Linked DNA regions of Astyanax mexicanus. The protein of the gene in region 2 interacts with the protein of the main gene of each other region in a pairwise test. Links are inferred from orthologs where the notes say so. Each region holds a gene or a part of one and is shown on either strand. Other genes may lie near its edges.

The links. The genes of interacting proteins can lie anywhere in the genome.
Region 1: the proteins of txndc5 (region 2) and gmppb interact in a two-hybrid assay, tested with the Homo sapiens proteins (2 studies listed by BioGRID and IntAct). The two-hybrid records come from large-scale screens. The link is inferred for Astyanax mexicanus from reciprocal best matches to the Homo sapiens genes TXNDC5 and GMPPB.

Annotation. Positions count from the first base shown.
Region 1 is NC_064431.1:3,041,695-3,051,344, forward strand, and holds the start of gmppb (mannose-1-phosphate guanyltransferase beta), read right to left. Parts: upstream 4,029-9,650; 5' UTR 3,795-4,028; intron 663-3,794; 5' UTR 577-662; coding exon 448-576; intron 1-447. UniProt on the Homo sapiens protein: Catalytic subunit of the GMPPA-GMPPB mannose-1-phosphate guanylyltransferase complex. Catalyzes the formation of GDP-mannose, an essential precursor of glycan moieties of glycoproteins and glycolipids. Can catalyze the reverse reaction in vitro.
Region 2 is NC_064408.1:107,745,672-107,756,345, reverse strand, and holds the start of txndc5 (thioredoxin domain-containing protein 5), read right to left. Parts: upstream 4,070-10,674; 5' UTR 4,028-4,069; coding exon 3,840-4,027; intron 992-3,839; coding exon 839-991; intron 1-838. UniProt on the Homo sapiens protein: Protein disulfide isomerase of the endoplasmic reticulum lumen involved in the formation of disulfide bonds in proteins. Can reduce insulin disulfide bonds.

The DNA.
Region 1 (9,650 bases), on a different chromosome or scaffold from region 2:
CCATGGTATACCTGGTGGTTGCGGTTGCTATGGGGTAGCTGTAAAAATACTCACTATGGTGAAACTGTTTTTGTTAGGTGGCTGCTATGGTGTGCCATTTAGTTGCTATGGAGTTGCTAGGTAGTTTTTTAGGCTGTTGCTGTTTGGTGATTTGGTTGAAACTATACTTTTGCTAGACTGTAGCTATAGTGTAAAATAATATGGGGTTGCTAGGACGTTACTATGCGGTTACCAGGGTTAAAACTTCCATGGTATAACAGGTGGTTGCTATGGGGTTAATAGGGAGATGCAAAGTATTTACACTCAAATTCCGGTTAAAAAAGGCTGTATATACTTAAATAGACGTAAAGCAGTATAATAAAAATGTCAAAATCAATGAAATTAGTTACAGTAGAAGCTGCTTACTTAAAAACAAGCACCACAGTGACCTACAGAACCAGTACCGACCTTCACTAAAGCCTCCACCTGATGGAGGAGGATGGGTTTATTGCAGAACTCCACCAGGGGCTTGGGCACGCTCAGGGTGAGGGGTCTTAATCTGGTGCCGTAGCCCCCGACCAGAATCAGAGCTTTCATTGTGGGAGGAGAAACGAGGCGTCAGAAGTGGGAGGACTTGGGCAGGAAGCACAGGAGCATCAGGTAGGACGAGCTTCCAGCTTCACCTGCGACACAGTGAAGGAGGAGGAGCTCAGAACTGGGCTGGATGACACACTTTGTCTATTGTCTATTGTTGTATATAATAAGTGATCTTCCTGACAGATGATAGTATGAGTGTCAGGCCTTCGTATAATCTATAATGTACTTACAGGGGTTGGACAATGAAACTGAAACACCTGTCATCATTTTAGTGTGGGATTTTAGGTTTCATGGCTAAATTGGAGCAGCCTAGTGTTCAATCTTCATTAATTGCACATTATTGCACCAGTAAGAGCAGTAAGAGTGTGAAGGTTCAATTAGCAGGGTAAGAGCACAGTTCTGCGCAAAATATTGCAATGCACACATTAAAACATTATGTGAGACATACCAGAGTTCAAAAGAGGACAAATTGTTGGTGCACGTCTTGCTGGAGCATCTGTGACCAAAACAGCAAGTCTTTGTGATGCAGCATCAAGAGCCACGGTATCCAGGGTAATGTCAGCATACCACCAAGAAGGACCAACCACATCCAACAGGATTAACTGTGGACGCTGTAAGAGGATGCTGTCTGAAAGGGATGTTCGGGTGCTAACCCGGATTGTAACCAAAAAACATAAAACCACGGCTGATCAAATCACGCAGAATTCAATGTGCACCTCAACTCTCCTGTTTCCACCAGAACTGTCCGTCACCACAATCAATTACTGTGCTCTAAAACCAGGTGTTTCAGTTTCATTGTCCAAGCCCTGTATGTTTATATACTGTATTTATGAGTAAAGGCCCAATGCCCAATGATTTCATATTAGGGCCATATCGCCCACCCCTTTCTAACACCCACACAAATAATCTGGCATGGTGATGAATATTGAATATAAGCAGGAGGAGCTTTTGAACAGCTTTAGAGGCAGACACACCCAAAACACACCCTACATATCCTAGTGACTGTTTGTCAGTGGTAAAATGGAGACGTGATGCAAGAAATATGTAAACTATTCCACTGGAAAACGATTAGCCTACGTCATTATACGGCCTCTGTTCCAGTGTCGCCAAACTGGATCAGAAGTGCCTGGCCAGGTCAAACTTGTCAAACTACAACTATACTGTTAAAAGTATGAAATCTTCATACTGAAACTGTGAAGGAACCTAATGAAGATTCTTCAGTGTTCCTTAAGGCGCTTTAAAGCCCTATCCTATTCTACTCAGTGCTAAAACTTTTACATCCAGACTGCAATTGAAAAAACAGGAGGATCAGTGAGTTTTTTTTAGGCTTTTTTTTTTTAGGAGTTCAGTAGCTCCTCCATTTCCACTCGCTGTTGTGTTTACAGTAAGTGGATCTCCATGGAAACGAGAGCCCAAAGTATAATTAAATTGCATGGCAGTGGACAAATAGCTATTTTATTAAATGTGAGGAGACGAAACTCAGAGATGTGCGTCTGGACGGAACTAATATTACCGGAGGACCACGGAGTTCAGAGAAAAACAGTAGATAATTCAGCCTGTAATTTTCTCAGAAGACAGAGAAAAACACGTACATGATCGTTCCGGACAGGAATACAATTACAGAGGATAAAAAAGCCCCCCATAAAAGAGAAAATTAAATCAGAACCCCCTGAGAAACGAATCCCATCGTCCAAAAAGAGCTTAAGAGTTTCCTTCAAACTTTTAAAGTGAAGAAAACTTTGAATTCACTATTTTGACATCTACAAAAAAACTGAGTTATTTGAGTTTGATGGTTTAGGTGGTCAACCTGGATGTCCACATTGATCTTGGTATTGTCAAACAACATGAACACCCTGCCATAATTATTTATCATGCTCACTGACCAGTTTGTTGTCCAGTTTGTCCAGAAACAGCTTGACCAAACTAGTTAACAAGCATGACTAGGTTAGTGACCAGCATTTTCAAGTTGGTTATGATGGTAGACTTGCTAATCTTGCTAAACCTGGCCATTACAGATCAGCTTAGACCACTCAAAACCAGGTTTCATGTTGCTAAGTTTCCGTCGGGATCAATAAAGTATCTATTTATCAGCAGAAGCTTGGAGCTGTTGTTGATCTGGAGTGGCCTGAAGGGTGTAGAGAAGCACAGGAATAGGAATTTATATCTTAATATCATGTTACATGTTACACTGTACAAAGGTGAAATCAGAAAGCCAGGCCTTAGCGTATAAACACAATATATATTCCATTATATTTACAATAAAAGGGATGCATGATGATCTCAGAATGATATTGGTATCGGCTGATAATTATTATTATTCTTTTTTTAGAATCATCGCCATCTGCCTATGTGTAGCTATTTTTAAACCAATACTTGCTGATGTATTTATTGTATGCTGGAAAAAGAAAATAATGGTATTATTATTACTATTAAAAACCCATATACTGTACCAGTCAAAAGTTTGGACCTCTTCTTAATCAGTGTGTTTTCTTTCTTTTTATGATTTTTTTCATCTTTTAATTAATATTAAAGATAATAATAATAATATTAAACAAAAAGTGTTAAACAAATTAGAATATACAGGATTGTAGAGAACTTTTTTTTTTACTATTTCCTACATAATTATGTTTAGTACATAATAGTTTTATGTGTTTATATTATATATTATATATTATATTAAACTATAAGCCAAATAAAATGAAGAAATAAAGAAAAACATTGATTGAGAAGGTGTGTCCAAACTTTAGACTGGTACTGTGTATACACTGTAGGTTATATATATATGCGTATGTATATACACACACATACACACTGTAGTCATTACAACTCATTAGCTAGTTAGCTAAGCTAAGCTATATAGTTAGCTGGCTAAGTTTAAACAAGTGTTTTAGACACATTTCTGTTTTTAAGAATATAGTAAATAATGTCTGAACTGAGCTGAACTGATGTTATTACTTTATATATATAATATTAATTAAGCTATAATAATAATAATTATTATTATTATAACGTTAATTATGATTATGGCATCATAACTTTATTATTAGCTAACCTAGCTAACAGCTATCAACTACACTGGTACACCTAACAACACAAACTCCCTTAAACAGTCAAACTACACAGTAAAGCGCAGTTATTACAATATTACAGTTATTACAGTACAGCTGATATTTATCTCAGTTATTAATATAAAACTATATCCAGGGAAAAGCTCTTACCACTGTGCTGCTGCTGCTGCTGCTGCTGCTGGACCTGTAGATTCGGTTCTGCTGAAATTCGGATCAGCTGGTTTAGATCAGAGTGAGGATCTGAATCAGTGCTGAGAGGAATAATTCAGATTATTAAAGAGTTCAGATTCTACACGAACTCTATAAAACTACTGACTTCATTCATTTAAACACCATCAGCGGCTCAGCTCCTCACTGCTGACAACACTACTGACCCGGACCAGGGGGCGGGGCCTCGACTGCTACGTACTGGGTCGACGGTCAGCGGAGCGTACCATTTATTACAAAGGGGATTGCACACATACTCATACTGAACCTACTGAAATTTTATTTGAGTTCCTTAAAAAATAATGGTGTATTTTTTTAACGTAAAAAAAATGGTGAGCACCAGATACTAAGTGGTGAGCACCACATCCTATAATAATAATAATAATAATAATAATAATAATAAAGGTTATTAAAGGTATTATTAGAGCTAGTATATCATCATCATATTATATTACAATTAGTTATGCCTCTGTGTTTAAAACATAAACTATATAAAAAGAATGATATTAATAATAAGGAGAAATCATATGTCTTTTATGTCTGCATAATTGTGCTGTATTTACAATAAATGCATTATAGTAAATAACATTTGTGAATTACAACTAAATGACAGTCAGTTTTAGTGGTGTTTAGCAAAAAAAAAAAAAAAGCAAAAAACTACTTGGAATAAAAAAGGGGAAATTATATATTATTTTTGTCTACTTTAAAAACGTGAATAATTTTTAGATAAAGATAACAGCAACACCTCCCAGAAGCCACAAAATATGTTGATGTATTTAAACAGTAACGGAATCGCAGTCCGCTTTGCTGCTGCTGCCGCTGTATTAATGATGGATCCCCCTCCGCCTGCAGTAAAGTGGTATGACCCGCAGTGTATGATTTGGCCGCGCCCCATTCGTCCTCCTCGCAGCCAATCAGTGAAGAACAGCGTGGCGCGGAAGCAGAAACGCCGCTGTCAAAACAAAAGCGACCAAAACAAACCGATTCATAAAAATTAAATACAGAGAAATTAAATACAGAGATTTTAAATGCATAAAAAATAAATACAGAGATTTTAAATACAGATAAATTAAATAAAGATAAATTAAATACAGATAAATTAAATGCAGAGATTTTAAATAAAGAGATTTTAATGTGGGGAACTAAAGTTCAGCTTTCTCTGCTCCCATAAATGGAGTCACACTTTTAGCAAAATACCACATTATTTACTGCAGTAAATGGAGGGGTAATAAACTCATTTTTCTCTGCTTTAAGAAAAAATTTAAATAAACAGGCCAAATGATAATAAATAGTAGGGTTAAACAGTTTCTGGTCATGTTGTTATCAATGGCTGAGGCAACTGTCTATTTCTAAATACACCAATAATTCAATTAAATACACTCACCAGAGTTTACTTATACTCCAGCAGGATTAAAAAGCTCTGCTTATAATATTTTAACCAGCAAATAAGTAAAACCAGAGTGAAATTTCCAATTAGTGTAAAATTAAAATAAAAATTAAAACACAGTAAGCTTTATTTTATTATTGATGTGAGCTCTTCATTAGCAGATATATCAGACTCAACTAATATGGGAAGGCTTTCCACAAGGTTTAGGAGTGTTTATTAAATATATTATTATATATTATATTATTGAAAAACAGTAATCAAGCCATGTTTTCACACTAATCTAACAAAAAACTTTTTTTTTCATAATACTATCTTTTATTCAAAGACAATTTGCCAATTATTAAATTACTTTGGTACATAGATATTTATATATTTTCTTGTAATTGAAAAAGGGTTATAATTGTATTTATAAAATATAATTTTGTAATGGTAAACTTTCATAATTACAGGAAGTTCTGTAATAAATATGGGTTTCTTTTAATTGTCAGTTATTTATTTATTCATTTATTTAGGCATCAGCAGATAAACACTTAAAACAATAAAAAGTATCAGAAACATGAATCAGCCCACGGTTTCAATCATATCAGAGCATCCTTAATTTTTTTTTTTTGTTGGTGCTGCTTTCAGTAAAAGTATGGTAAAAGCATTTAAACAGGAATAAAATGACGCAAGACAACAGTTTTCTTAAATAAATGTTTTTTAATAACACATTCAAAGATGTCATATATTTTCCTTAAAAAAATATCCATCCATGCAACAACAACAAAAGGGGAAATAAAGAAACTTTTTGGGTGATAGATTTTTCTCTACAGGTTCTACCTCACATCTATGGAAAGACCAGGAACATCCGCCACAGACGAGGCCACGTCAACTTCATCCCAGTCCCTTAAACAGACACAAGAGGCTGCAGATTCCCTTTTTCGCTTTTAGTAACATTAGCTTCTTTGACCAAGCTTTTCCTCTTAGACAAAACTCACAAAACACTTCAGACTGGGACAGTCAACGGTGCCAATAGTAAGCAAATCTAGTTTTGCACATTCTACATTTTGCCGTCCCACTGTGAAGTGCTTATGTGAACACTGACCCATTTTTTCTGTCCGATATCTGAAAAATATGTATTATTGTAAGAACATACACAGCAATATGGACTTTTTGCAAAGTCATTTACTTTATACATGTAAAACATACGTTTTTTAAGGGTTATGATCTACTAATGTACTGCGATACATTATCCCCTCAAATTTTACATTGTTTGACTGACTGAATCTGAGCAGAAAGTAGAGCTCTATATACCTTTAAGAACAAATATATATAATTTATTATATATACATTTCTATAAATTACTAAAGATTATTTATAATTAAAAAATTGTCTCCCAATTTAGCCTAAAATTTTGACTAGCATTTTGACTAGCAAACGACACATGTGAAGAGTAGCATCACAGCGCTAACGCTCGGAGGAAAGCGCAGCGACTCGGTTCTGATACATCAGCTCACAGACGCAGCCTTTTGCTGATCCACGTCACCCTAGGAGTGATGAGGGGAAAGAGAAAGCTCCATCTACTGTACTGTACCCACCAAGAGAGAGCAAGGCCAATTGTGCTCTCTCGGGGCTGCGACAGCAGATGGCAAGCTGCATGCCCAGGATTCGAACCAGCAATCTCCCGATCATAGTGGCAGCGCTTTAAACCACTAGGCCACTTTGTGCATCCCAATCCTGCTACGTGACTTAGAGACCTGACCCAAGTACATGTTGACTTATATTTATACACATATAAAGTAAATGACCTTGTATTTATATCTATCTTTCAAAGCATCCAAGCATACATTTCCATTTCAGTGTCCATATTCTCTTAATATTATAATTTTATGGCTGAAAAAGTGAAGAGACTAAAACAAAAACCCCACATTTCTTGCAAGGCTCCGTTTGTCTTTGGTGGAGCAAATAGAAATGACACATCATTGACCAATGACGTTCCTTTTTGGAAATATAATAGGACAGTTAATCTAATCTATAATCTAGACACATTAATATGGCTGATGGCCCCTCAGTCAGTGACTTATATTATATAATATAATACAAATATTACCAGGAGAGGTATCTCTATAGTAACTGGGGGAGTGGAGTAAAGGTGGAGGTCGGGTCGGGTTTGGTTGTGTACACAATATAACAACAATACTACACTGGTAATACCAATACAGTATATGCATGTATTAATATGCATTTCAATACAAAAATACGACCCGCCGGGGCCTGTGATGTGCCAGAGAGGGGGAGAGAAAAAAAAAACATAAAAATAAATAAAAAATTATTATTCCATCAATAATTGTCATCAAAAAGGGTAATGGCTACAGTGCAACTGTTCCACCTACACAGAGAACACCCTAACCACGGTGAAACTACGAGGAGACGAGGCTCCGCCCACGGTGACGGCAAGGGGACACGACGAGCTAAACGGTGAGGAAAGGTGGCGTTAGGATTTTTTCTTTAGTCTTCTTTAGTCTTTTCTTTATAAAGCTCTGGAAAAAATAAGAGAACCCTTAAAAATGATGAGTTTCTTTGATTTTACCAAATGAAAACCTCTGGAATATACTCAAGAGGAAGATGGATGATCACAAGCCTGAATTTTTGCACCAGGAGTAAAGGCACAAAGTTATCCAAAAGCAGTGTGTAAGACTGGTGGAGGAGAATATGATGCGATGAGATTTTAAAACCAGGGTTATTGCAGCAAATATTGATTTCTGAACTCTTAAAACTGCATGAATATGAACTTGTTTTCTTTGCATTATTTGAGGTCTGAAAGCTCTGCATCTTTTTTGTTTTTTATTTCAGACTTTTCTCATTTTCTGTAAATAAATGCTCTAAATGAGAATATTTTTATTTAGAATTTGGGAGAAATGTTGTCTGTAGTTTATAGAATAAAACAACAATGTTCATTTTACTCAAACATAAACCTATAAATAGCAAAATCAGAGAAACTGATTCAGAAACTGAAGTGACCTCTTATTTTTTTCCAGAGCTGTATATATGTATAAATATATATATATATATATATTATGTATATAAATATTTTTTCATGTATATAAATTGCATTGCTACATGTGCTGATGGAGGTGGATAAAGGATCACTGTGACGTAAAGTCAGTGTGGATTATTTCTGATGTTCTCAAGAATGAAAAGCTCTTGAGGGAAAGAAATGATGGGAAAACCATGCTGTCGGATGCGTTCCAAACATAGTCTACAGTGCAAAAGATAGGATGGTTAACTTTCAGCATAACCATATTTGACAGACTTTGAAACATCAACACAACAGTGATTATAATAATAATAATAATAATAATAATAATAATAATAATAATAATAATAATAATAATGATGAGGGTGACAAACATATGGATAAACATACTATACTGTCCCATTGACATGCCTAGGACTGTCAGTACTACCATAAACCAAAGAGGGACACTTTTATAATAATTATTATTATTACAAAAAAAGAAAAGAAAAGAGAAAAACCAAAAAAATAAGTGTAAAAAGCTATAAAAAAAAAAGAAAAAGCTAAAACACAATGTTGGCTCTAACTGAAGTGAATAAGTAAATAAAAGGGCTACAGAAACAGCAACATCATTTAAAAAAAAAAACTGAAACAAACAAACAGGCAAAATTAAAAAAAAAAAAAAGCATAAAAGCATGTGACCTCAAATGTGATAATTTTTTTTTTTTATCACACAGTCTCATTATGTATGGTAAATGTTGTTGCCAAAAGGCGAACTTCACCTTCTTATCCTTTTATTATTATTAATATTATTGTACAGACGGAAGGAGAGTGGGCGTGGCCTGAGCGAGGCCAGGTAAGCGTCATCATCATCTCTACCACCTCTCCTTATTTTTTACAGTAAAGCTTTCGCAAAAAAAAACAAAACATAACGAGCAAAAACTGCTCCCTTTAGGAATACTGACGTCGGGGAATTATATATAATCCGCCATATAATCCCCAACCAACACAATCTCTCTCTCTCTCTCTCTTTCTCGCTCTCTCTTTCTTTTCTTTTCTTTTATCTATACTCCATTCGCTCACTTATGCACACATATAAAACACACACACACACACACACACACACACACACACACACACACACACACACACACACACACACACACACACACACAGACAGACAGACAGACAGACTTATAAACAAACAGACAGACAGATAGACTCATAGACTTATAGACAGATAATCAAACAGACAGACAGACTGACAGACAGTCAGACAGACGCTTTCCCTGCAACGCCCCCTCCTCAATCTGTGAAGAGGACCTGACCCTGGACTTGCCCTGAGCTGTGGCTGCCTGCTTAAATCTCCTGACTGCAATTCTTCAGCTGGCCACATGGTGGCGACGAATCCACAGGA
Region 2 (10,674 bases):
GATAAAGATGAAACTGAGCCTATACTGATTAGACAAAACCCCAAGATCTTTATCCTAAATTAAATCTTAATTGTGACCCTACAACTACCCTCAGAATTTGAAGAAGTCTGCCAAACATCTAGAAGAAATAGATGAGTTTTAGAAACATAGATGCATGATTTATACCAGAAATGTCCATTAAACTTTTATCCGTTTGATTAGCCACAGCAGCTAATGTTCTCTATATTATAATTAAAAATAAATAAACAAACAAAAAATGTGGAATTTGGCCAACAGTGAATTTTGCAGGGCATTTATATAATAGAACATTTGCAAGAACAACTTTACAACTCTTTCCTATTTCCCTCCGTCCTATTTCGCTGTCAGGTCAAAACTTGCAAAAATGGAGATACTAGGTTTTGATTTCTTGACAAAACTTAAAATCAGGAGGTTGTTCTTAACATTGTCTCAAACTTTCATGTTGAATGGGGCAGCAGAAATGGTTAAATTTTTTTTTAAATCTTTTTACACTTTTCTACTTAGAATTAAGAAGTTTCCTATAAAGTGCATTTTTAAGGTAAGCATTGGGAATGCACAACAAGCTGCAATAAATGTGAGTATTCAAACTAGTGACGTCTTTAACAGGAGTTAAACATCGCTCAGGGAGTAACACAACAAGAGTGAGACTTTGGCCTTCCACAGTCAACGTGTGACGTGTCGTGTGTATAAACTGTGGACATCACTGCTCACCTAGCTAGTCTGCTAGTTAATATTACAGTACCTCAATAATGTATTACCATTATAATCTATTATAGTTTTATAGAGGTCTCAACAGCTACATAAAATTGGTAAACCTTACGTAGGATATCCACGGATCCCATGGTCACTGGAGCAAAACTTGGTGTCCTTAGTGCAATCTACTTTTACAACATAGATGGGAGGAGTCTCCATACTGTTGTATTTGTCTGCCAGCTCATTCCATGTTCCCTGTAGCCTCTGGCAATGACCACACCTGTACAAGACAAAGCACAGAATACAATGTTAAAACCTCCTGGGGGCATGCGTTTTTATGCTAAATAAACAGTGTTTATTGGAAGGGTTTTTATTTGAGACCTTATACTAGACTTTTAATGTACCTTTAGTAAATGCAATTAATTGTACCTAAGCTGTTTCACCTGTGCTTTATCCATTTGTGCTTCACTTTAAAATTTCAGCTTAGGATTTACTCCACTACATCTGAGTCAAATATATCAATATTGTTATTTTGATACTTGTGTCCACACTTAAGCAAAAAAATAATTATAATAACTTATTTAAGCAAGAGACTTTCTTAGAGAAATTATATTAGAACATAAGAGCCTTACAAAATAACATTTATTTTACTTTCAAAACTTTGTCCTTCTACTTTTAATACACTGCAAAAAAATCTTCAAGGCTAATCTTATTTTCTTCATTTTTTTGTCTTACTTATTGTGTAAGCAAGTGTAAAATTGTTTAGATTATTTATGGAATAATGATTTTAAATCAGTCTTCCTTAGAATTTTAAGAAATTTGAACATGAAATAACAAAAATCACCACCAAAGTTATTTTGTAATTCGTGTCCAATTTTTTTTTTTTCGTGTCTAAATATTACTAAGAAAAATTTGCTTAATATAAGCTAGGGCTGGAAGGTTAATCGAGTTACTGTTTTAATGCGATTTTCAAATTGGCATAATTAAGATTTAACACCATTACATATAGAAGCTTCAGATGGAGTAGATGGACATTTGCTTCTATCAGGAACCTGTAAAGAACTATTTTATGAGGCAGTGATTTACATGGTTTACACTTTTTTTCTTAACTGAAATACAAGGACGTTATATTTGTTTAATATAAATCTGCATGTATGGTTTACTGCTAACTATTCTTTAAAAAAAAGGTACATTAAATGTAAAGAAAATAACAGCTTGCACATCATATAAAATTGTGCTGTGTGTTTACAAATAAAACAAGAAATTAAATTGTAATCGAAATTCATTCTTGTACCTGGAGGACAGTTTTTTCCCTTTTATCTCTCCTTCAGCTCAAGTAACTAGTGATACGTTTTAGGTACTTTTTTTCTTGGGTTTCTGCTCTGTATTTAAAAACACATATTTGTGCCATGTTTGGATCAGTATGAAGTGTTTTGGTAGGTCTTTTATTTTATTTCTTATTTTTACTGCTTCTTGCCACGTGTACTGAAACTTCTCATACTGAATGAACTGTGAACTCCTTGGCTTAGCCGGCTTGGAGTGCTAGCTGGCTAGGATAGCTCATCTGCTAGCTAACGTTACAACTGCAGTTTTTGAGTTTACCCTTCCTGCTAACGTGGATATGCTAACAGTTTATATGGTTTAAAGGCTAACGTTTAAACAGAAGGATTATAAGAGCTCTCGAAAAAGCCCATAAAGCACAGCCTGAACACTTTTTCAGTTTAGCTAACCTAGCTTAGCTTAGCTGCACACAATCCGTTAGCCCTCTATGGCATGAACTATCATTTTGGAACCTTGAGAGTCCTTGTGGATGCAGATAGTAACGGTAACGTTAAATGTTAAAGTTTGACTTTTAATCACAAGCTGGATCAATTAAATCAGGTGTCCCAAAACATGCGACGTTTCCAGGGCAAGATATAAGAGAACCACTGCCTCTTCATGATTAATGTAATACAAGTTGACTAACTGCACAAGGTAACAAATAACAATAAAAATTACAACATGAACGTAAGGATATAAACAATATAAATATACATATTTCTTCACGTATTCTTGCACAAACACATTTTAAATGTATAACCCACTTGTACACCTCATTGTACAGAACATGAGTTTTTTTTATCAATAATCTATATAATCAGTCACCATCAATCTAATCTCACCATCTCACCATCAATCTAACCTATCTATCTAACCTATCTATCTATCTATCTCTGTTATCTATCTGTTATCTATCTATCTGTGTTATCTATCTATCTATCTATCTGTTACACAGTGACAGACATATACATAAACAGACAGACAGACATACATATAGTTATATAACTTAAATAGTTAGATAAATGATATAGATAGATAGATAGATAGAGATAGATAGATAGATAGAGATATATAGATACATTATATAGATAGAGATAGATACATTATATAGATAGAGATAGATACATTATATAGATAGAGATAGATACATTATATAGATAGAGATAGATACATTATATAGATAGAGATAGATACATTATATAGATAGAGATAGATACATTGCATAGATAGAGATAGATACATTATATAGACAGAGATAGATACATTATATAGATAGATAAATACATTATATAGCTAGATTGATAGATAGATACATTATATAGATAGATACATTATATAGATAGATACATTATATAGATAGATAGATAGATAGATAGATAGATAGATAGATAGATAGATAGATAGATAGATAGATAGATATTGTGCCATAGACAGACATACTGATACTTATATAGACAGATAGGTAGGTAGGTACTTTGCCATTGAGGATTAGCTAAGCTAGTTAGTTAGCTAGCTAGCTGGCTAGCTAGCTACATAACGCTATCTTAGCATGGAAAGTAGTTGCTAGGCACTTTAGCTAAGCTAGCTAGCTGGCTAACATAACTCTTCTGTTAGACGTTTGTAAACACGCTAAACTCATTTTAACGTGAAATTGAATCAGAAATACAACGTTAAACTCGAATACGCACACTGTTGCCCTTTTGATAATTACGGCGGCTGAGCTAAAGCCAGTCTCTGCAGCTGTAAAGCCGGCTGGAGCTAAGCAGAACCCGGCTGCAGTAGTAGAAGATCTCTGTAGTTAACTTTACCACGGAGCGAAGAACATCACGAAGTGTGGAGCTGTCGGAATCGCGTCGTTAAACATCTCCACAGTGTACGTGTGCTTCGCGTGCTCGTCCTCCTCCGTCTCATTATCGCACAGTATCGTACCGAACAGTAATACACAATAAATACTACTGATTAAAACCCGGGGCATCTTCAGAGCTGAGGTGGCCATGATTCCGTCGAGCTGGAGCAGAGGCGCTCACTCTCTGCTAAAGCTATAAAAACCTCTACTACAGCAGATCTGCAGCTGCAGGGATGGTCCTGGATCACATCGAGACCTGCTGGGTATGAGTTGGAGGTCTGTGGTGTTGTTCAGGAAGCTTGCTGGCACTGTCTCATACGTGGGATCACCTCTTACTTTTTACAGCATTTTACAACTTTTTAAAAGTCACAGAAGCTGTGAAAAAACTATTTTCTTTATTATTTTTCAAGTTTCAAGTTTCAAACATGTACAGTGCCAGTCAAAATGTTAGACAAACGTCTTCTATTCCAATGTGTTTTTTTTCTTTTCGTGATGTTTTACATAGTAAAATTAATACTGAAGATATTAAAACTATACCAGAGCACATGTGATGTTTTTATATTCTTCTAAGTACCAGTGTCTTCAAGAGGAGGAGTCACCTGGAACAGTTTTCACAGCCTTGAAGGAGTTCCTGGAGGTGCTGAACAATATTGTTGCTGCTATCACTTCGGGCTATGAAGCTCCATCTCAATTGATCAGATTTGATCAGTAGATTGTGGAGAACAAACACTTTTTAATTTACTGCTTAGTTCCATATGTGTCCCCAAAAATAAATTAAAATAATAAAGAAAGAAGGAACATTGAATAAGAAGGTATGTCCAAAGGTTTGTCTGTTACTGTATATAGATTATATGAATTAAATTACACATTTGTTTAATTGTGTAAAAGTGCACTGCTGTGATAAAAATAACCCTGGCCAGTCCAAGCTGATAAACCAGCATTACCAGCTTCACCAAGTTAGGTCACCAGCTTCACCAGGTTAAATGTCCAGTGTCACCAAGCTGGTTGACCAGCATGATCATCAAGACCGGCCTGGACAGCAGTGCCAAAGTTTTTCATCAACCTTAACGTCAAAGACCAGCTTGGACCATTCAGTTCCTAGCAAAAGCTGATCTTGAGTTAAAGTTTTTAACAGGGTGAATACAGAAATAGTTTATGAAAGTATCTGCTTGTTTATGTGTTTACATGTATTTGCATACACGAGAACAACAGTGGCCGGCTGACAAATGGCCTAGATGGTGAGCAATTTGTCAAAACAACAAACCTGTTTCTATTAGTCCAACAATGAGCCCATTCTCAAAGTTTGTCAACTGGCAAAAAGGTTTTGGAGTGCATTGTAGAGGCATGTCTAGGAGTCAACATTCTTTCACCAAGAGGTAAACTACCCAAAAGTAACCTCTGAGATATTTTTATATGGCACCAAGCAGAAGGCCATATAATTAATTGTTTAAACACTAACTGAATGAATAAACAATTGGAAATAGGTATTCCAGCTAACATAGAATGTTATAAGAATGTTTAGCAACATTTAGAAAAGTTCCAAGAAGGTTAGGCTGTAACGTTATAGAAAATATGTTCTAAGGACATAAAGAAAACTTGACAGACTGAATGCTCTAAGGATGTTAACGTTTGTAACATTTAGAAAATTGTTAGATTGGTATGCTGCTGGTTGTTTAGAATAAAAACCCAATGTGAAACAAGGAACAACACTAATGGGATTTGAGCCTCAAGATGGCTTCATAGATACACAAGATTTAAGACAACCAGGAAAAGTAATTATTGTAAAACTCAGAAATGTGTTTTTCAGAAAAGATATCTAACATTTCAGGAGGTGCTAAAACTCTTTTCCACAATCCTACCACAGGTTTTATATGTTTTACATGCAAAAAATCAAGACATCATTGCCATAACTTGGAATAGTTTTAGGCCAGTGGAAGTGACTCACAAAACAAACTGATATGGAAACAAACTTAGACATAGCCATAGTTTCTTGCCATGGATATTTATGTTGTATTTGGCTTTCATGTTCTTTTAGGTTTGAATTCTAACTAGCAGAAACTTGTCTTGAAAAGACATTGCAAGTCTAAACACATACAGGCCCATACTTCAAAGAGGGGTATGTATGGCAGCCCTCAGGCACCAATGTTGGTGTCCACCTCTCTTCTTTTGCTTTTCTACCACATGCTGTTGAATGCTGGTGACTTCACTCCTTTACTTCAGCACTTCCAGATCAGATTCACTCTCTGCTCCAATATCAACATGTCAGATATGTGTGAATCAGGAATAAAACTCAAAACCCCTCTGCTGCTCTGAGACTCTGAGGTACTTAAGTATGTCCACATTTTGCTTTGGCTCTACAGCTACAACAAACATGCCCAGTTTCACTCACTATAGCCATTAGCACTTCACAATTACAAGAGCTTTGGCAACAGGGGTCCATGTCAGGGAATCTGCCATGGAAGATGGCTACCCCTTGCTGGCACAGAATGTGAGTCATTAGAGCAAAACAAGTCCATCAAATGCAAGAAAAGTTGAGTGATGTGAAGGAGCTTCTTCAGAAAGAAGATCTATCTGTCTGTAAGTATGGTCTCAAAAGATTGCAATGGAGGCTGTGCGGACTATGCAGACAACAAAATGTAGTAAACATCAGCTTTATATGACCTAATTTTCCAACCATGGAATATTTAATGCATTTATTTAATGCATATTTTGATAAGCACTGGGTTATTGATCACAGGGTTGTGGGTTTGATTCATATGTGTCTGTTAAGCTACCATTGGTGATTCACGTGGTAAAGGGTTGATACCTTTGTCCTTTTGCCGCCACTGTTTATCACTGTTTCTTGGATATGGGTTTGATACCTATGTTCCTAAGCTTCCACTTTTGATTAAATGTGTTTAATACCCATGTTCTTTAATCCACCATTGTTGATACCTTTGGGGTTAGAGCCCTGGGCTATAGATTACAGGATTGTGGGTTTGATGCAAGTGTCTGTTAAGATGCTACTGTTGATCACATGGTAATGATTGTGATACTTTTGTCCTTTAAGCTGCCACTTTTAAACACAGGGTTGTAAGATTGATACCTATATCTTCTAAGCTGCCACTGGTGACCACATGGTAATGGTTGTAATACTTTTGTCTTTTAAGCTGCCACTGTTAAACACAGGGTTGTAAGTTTGATACCTATATATTTTAAGCTGCCACTGGTAATCACATGGTAATTGGTTTGATACATTTGTGCTTTAGCTGCCACTGTTTATCACTCTTCATGGTTATGGGTTTGATACCTATGTTCTTAAGCTGCCCCTTTTAAGCGCAGAGTTAAGGGTTTGATACCCATGTTCCTTAAATGATCACTGTTGATGCCTTTGGGGTTAGAGCCCTGGGCTATAGAATACAGGATTGTGGGTTTGATTTAAGTGTCTGTTAAGCTGCCACCGTTGATCACTTGGTAATGGATGTGATACATTTGTCCTCTAAGCTGCCACTTTTAAACACAGGGTTATAAGTTTAATACCTATGTCTCCTAAGCTGCCACTGGTGATCACAAATGTGGTAATGTGGTTCAAATCTATGTCATCTAAACTACCTTAGTGGTCAGAGAATTGGGTTATTGATTACAGAGTTATGGATTTGATGCTTGCATCTGCAAAGCTGCTAATGTTGATAACAGAGTCGGCCACTGTTGGACCCTTAAAGGTTAGAGCACTAGGTTATTCATTACAGGGTTATGAGTTTGATACTTACTGTATGTTCCCTAAGCTACCACTGTTGCTCACACATTTTTATGGGTTTCGATACCTGTGTCTACTTAGCCAGGCCTTGTGACCTCGTGCTCTGTTCTGTACAGGTGTATTCACAATATGTTTACTTCAGTTAATTTAGTAATAATCAATTAAACAAGCACCCAGGTTTTTTCCAGCTGCTCGTTGAGTTCTAAACTGTTTTGTTAAAGAAGGTAAACCAAAAAACATCTGGCTAAAGGCTTCTCATAAAAAAGTGAACAGTTTTATCCAGGTTAAGTAAGTCAAAGCTGCCCACTGACATTAAGTTTTGGTAAACGTAGAGCTCCTCCTCTCTTTGATGCTGGTTGAACATGTTGCAAGGCACTTAAGCAGACCTACAGTGCATCAAGGTTTGTTTTTATTTTCCCCTTGAAAAGAAATTACAGATGTTGTCACTTACTACTCTCATGGAAAATGACCCTGCTTGGCTGAAGGCGGTGGGACTCCGCCAGACTGAGGGGGCCAAGTCTCCAAACAGATGCACAGTGTTTTTCTTAGAGATGATTTGTTCTGTTCCGTTTTGATGGCTGTCCAACCATAACGGCTCCTCAATGCACACTGCAGGTTCAAAGATGGAGAGTATTGCTGTACACAGCCTGGAACAGGTGTACATTCAGTAGTGTGTGTTTGTGTGTGTGTGGTAGGGGGCAGTTTGAGCAAATGTATGTATATTTTAATGTAATGTATTGAGATGTATGTTTGTTAAAGGTATGTTTCCCTAAGTGTACAGTTCTTAAAATGAAGGTGATGAAGAAATGCCATGTTCTAAAATGGTTCTTTAAAGGTCATTCTCAGATGTTCATGTGTAAAGAACCTTTTTTAAAGTTTAAAGAGTTCCCACATACAATGTAAAAAGTTAAGCTGCTTAAAAAGGTTATTTGAGTAATGTCATGGAAGAAGAGCCAGTATCAGAATATAGTGTAAAAACCGTAAAATAGGGGTGCCGAATGGTCCAGCTCCCCCCCAGGTGGGTAGATGGCGCTCTCTCCCCACATCACTCCCAGGGTGATGTCCGCAGCACAGGGCGTCTGTGAGCTGATGTACCGGATCCGAGCCGCTGCGCTTTCCTTCAAGCGCGCCGGCTGCTCGGCAATACTGCATCAGCTCGAAAAGAATAGGTGTGTTGGGGCATTACTAGTGATAGGAGGAGTCCTAGTGAGTGGGTTGGGTAATTGGCCGTGTAAATTGGGGAGAAAATGGGGGAAAAAAAACAAACAAACGTAATATATATATATATATTTTTTTTTTTTGACAAATTATCAAATTAGCCAGTCATTAGCCACACTGATAATGTTTCATATTTTCTGTTTTACATTAATCCAGTTAAAACCAATTCCATCTTTCTGCTTCCTCCGAGTTCTTGACTGCCCACCAGTGCAGCCCGATACCAATGGATGTTAGACCCTCAGGCTCTCCTGTCCCCTGTTCAGCCGGACTGATAGAAGTTTCTGAAAGTCAGCCTTCCCATTACCCACCACAGTTTAGCTGCCCAGCATTCAGTTCTTGCAACATGCCTCGGACTAGCTGCTGACTCTCCACTACAGATCACATCCAAATTTATATGAACTCTAACTGCTTTCATAGCTGGTGCTGTTATAAAACTGAATATATTAGACCTGTGTGGATGTATAATGACTAAAATTCATTAAAAGGTTGTTAGACTGTGGTAGGATGGTCCCCTCTTACATTTGAGTCTTGGTCCTCCCAAATTTTCTTCCTCCTGTATGTTTTGTAGTGTATTGTAGTGTTTTGTCTGATTCTCTGTCCTGTAAACCTGCTTTGTGACAAACATTTGATTTAATAAGATTTCAGAGTGCACAGAATAGCAAAAACTGCTCATGGTGACATTGTTCTGTTGTATAGATATTTGGGAAATATTAGGTAAAATCTATATTATTAATTGCTAAATAATGCAGTAAGTGTCTTCAGTCCTTTGAAAGGAAAACACTGTAAAGGTTGTGCTGTCACTGATTTCTTAAAGGGGACGTTCTTGGAGATGATTAAATTGCTTGATATTTTCATGAAAATAGCTAAATAAATAATTGAAATGCATAATTGAAGTAGGAAATATTGACCCTTTTTGCATCAGTAAAGATCATAATGTAATGAGTTAGAGTGAACAACCTTTTAAAGATATATATAGAACCTTCAGGTGAACCATCCTTATAGATCCAGTAAGTAAGCCAGTTAAGCAATAGTTTAGTCTGTGTGTGTGTGTGTGTGTGTGTGTGTGTGCCTGCTAGTGTTTCTAGCTTCTTTTCCCTCTAAGGAGCAGTCAATGGGACAGTCTTGCCATGCCTCACTGTTCACAGGGTCACCACAGAGGCCATTAAGTGGCTGTACTGGTGGAATAATGTGTTTTCTTTGGCCAGAGGGAAGCAGCAGGTGCAGTCAGCCTCAGCTCCAGTCCAGCTCTTTCTTCAGCTTTGATCTTCCAGTCTCCCAGAGGCCCTGGATCTCCTACACTGGTGCTTCCAACATTAATTCAGCTCCGACTGACTGAATGCACTGGTTTACAGCAGTTTATGTAGAAATAAATAGGCAAATTCTAATGCATGGCAGACCAAAAAGAATAAGCTACAACCCTACAGTAGCTACTATATACCACTGTTGGACAAAACTTTATGTATTCATTTTAATTTAATGTGAACCTGGTGCTTGTACTTTAGATTGTGACTAAAATAAATGATGAATTAAACAACAAAAATGCTCCAAAATTATTTATAAAGTTTAAGTCTTCTCCCAAGTTAATAAGAGTCATAGAGCTTGGGAAAAAGCTGGAGAACTCACATTTCTTGCGGTGCCCAAACTCATGCATGATGCTTGTTTTTTTTTTATCGCTCTAAATTTATGCTTGCTTAAAATTGTTGAAAAGAATGTTTCCAATTTAACTTAATAACTTTAGATCAGTGTATCGTCTTTTCGGTTTACTCTTCATGGTAACATAACTTTTGCAAAAAGAAATTATTTTTGTTTTAATCTTTTTACCCTTAAACTCTTTGTGTTTTTT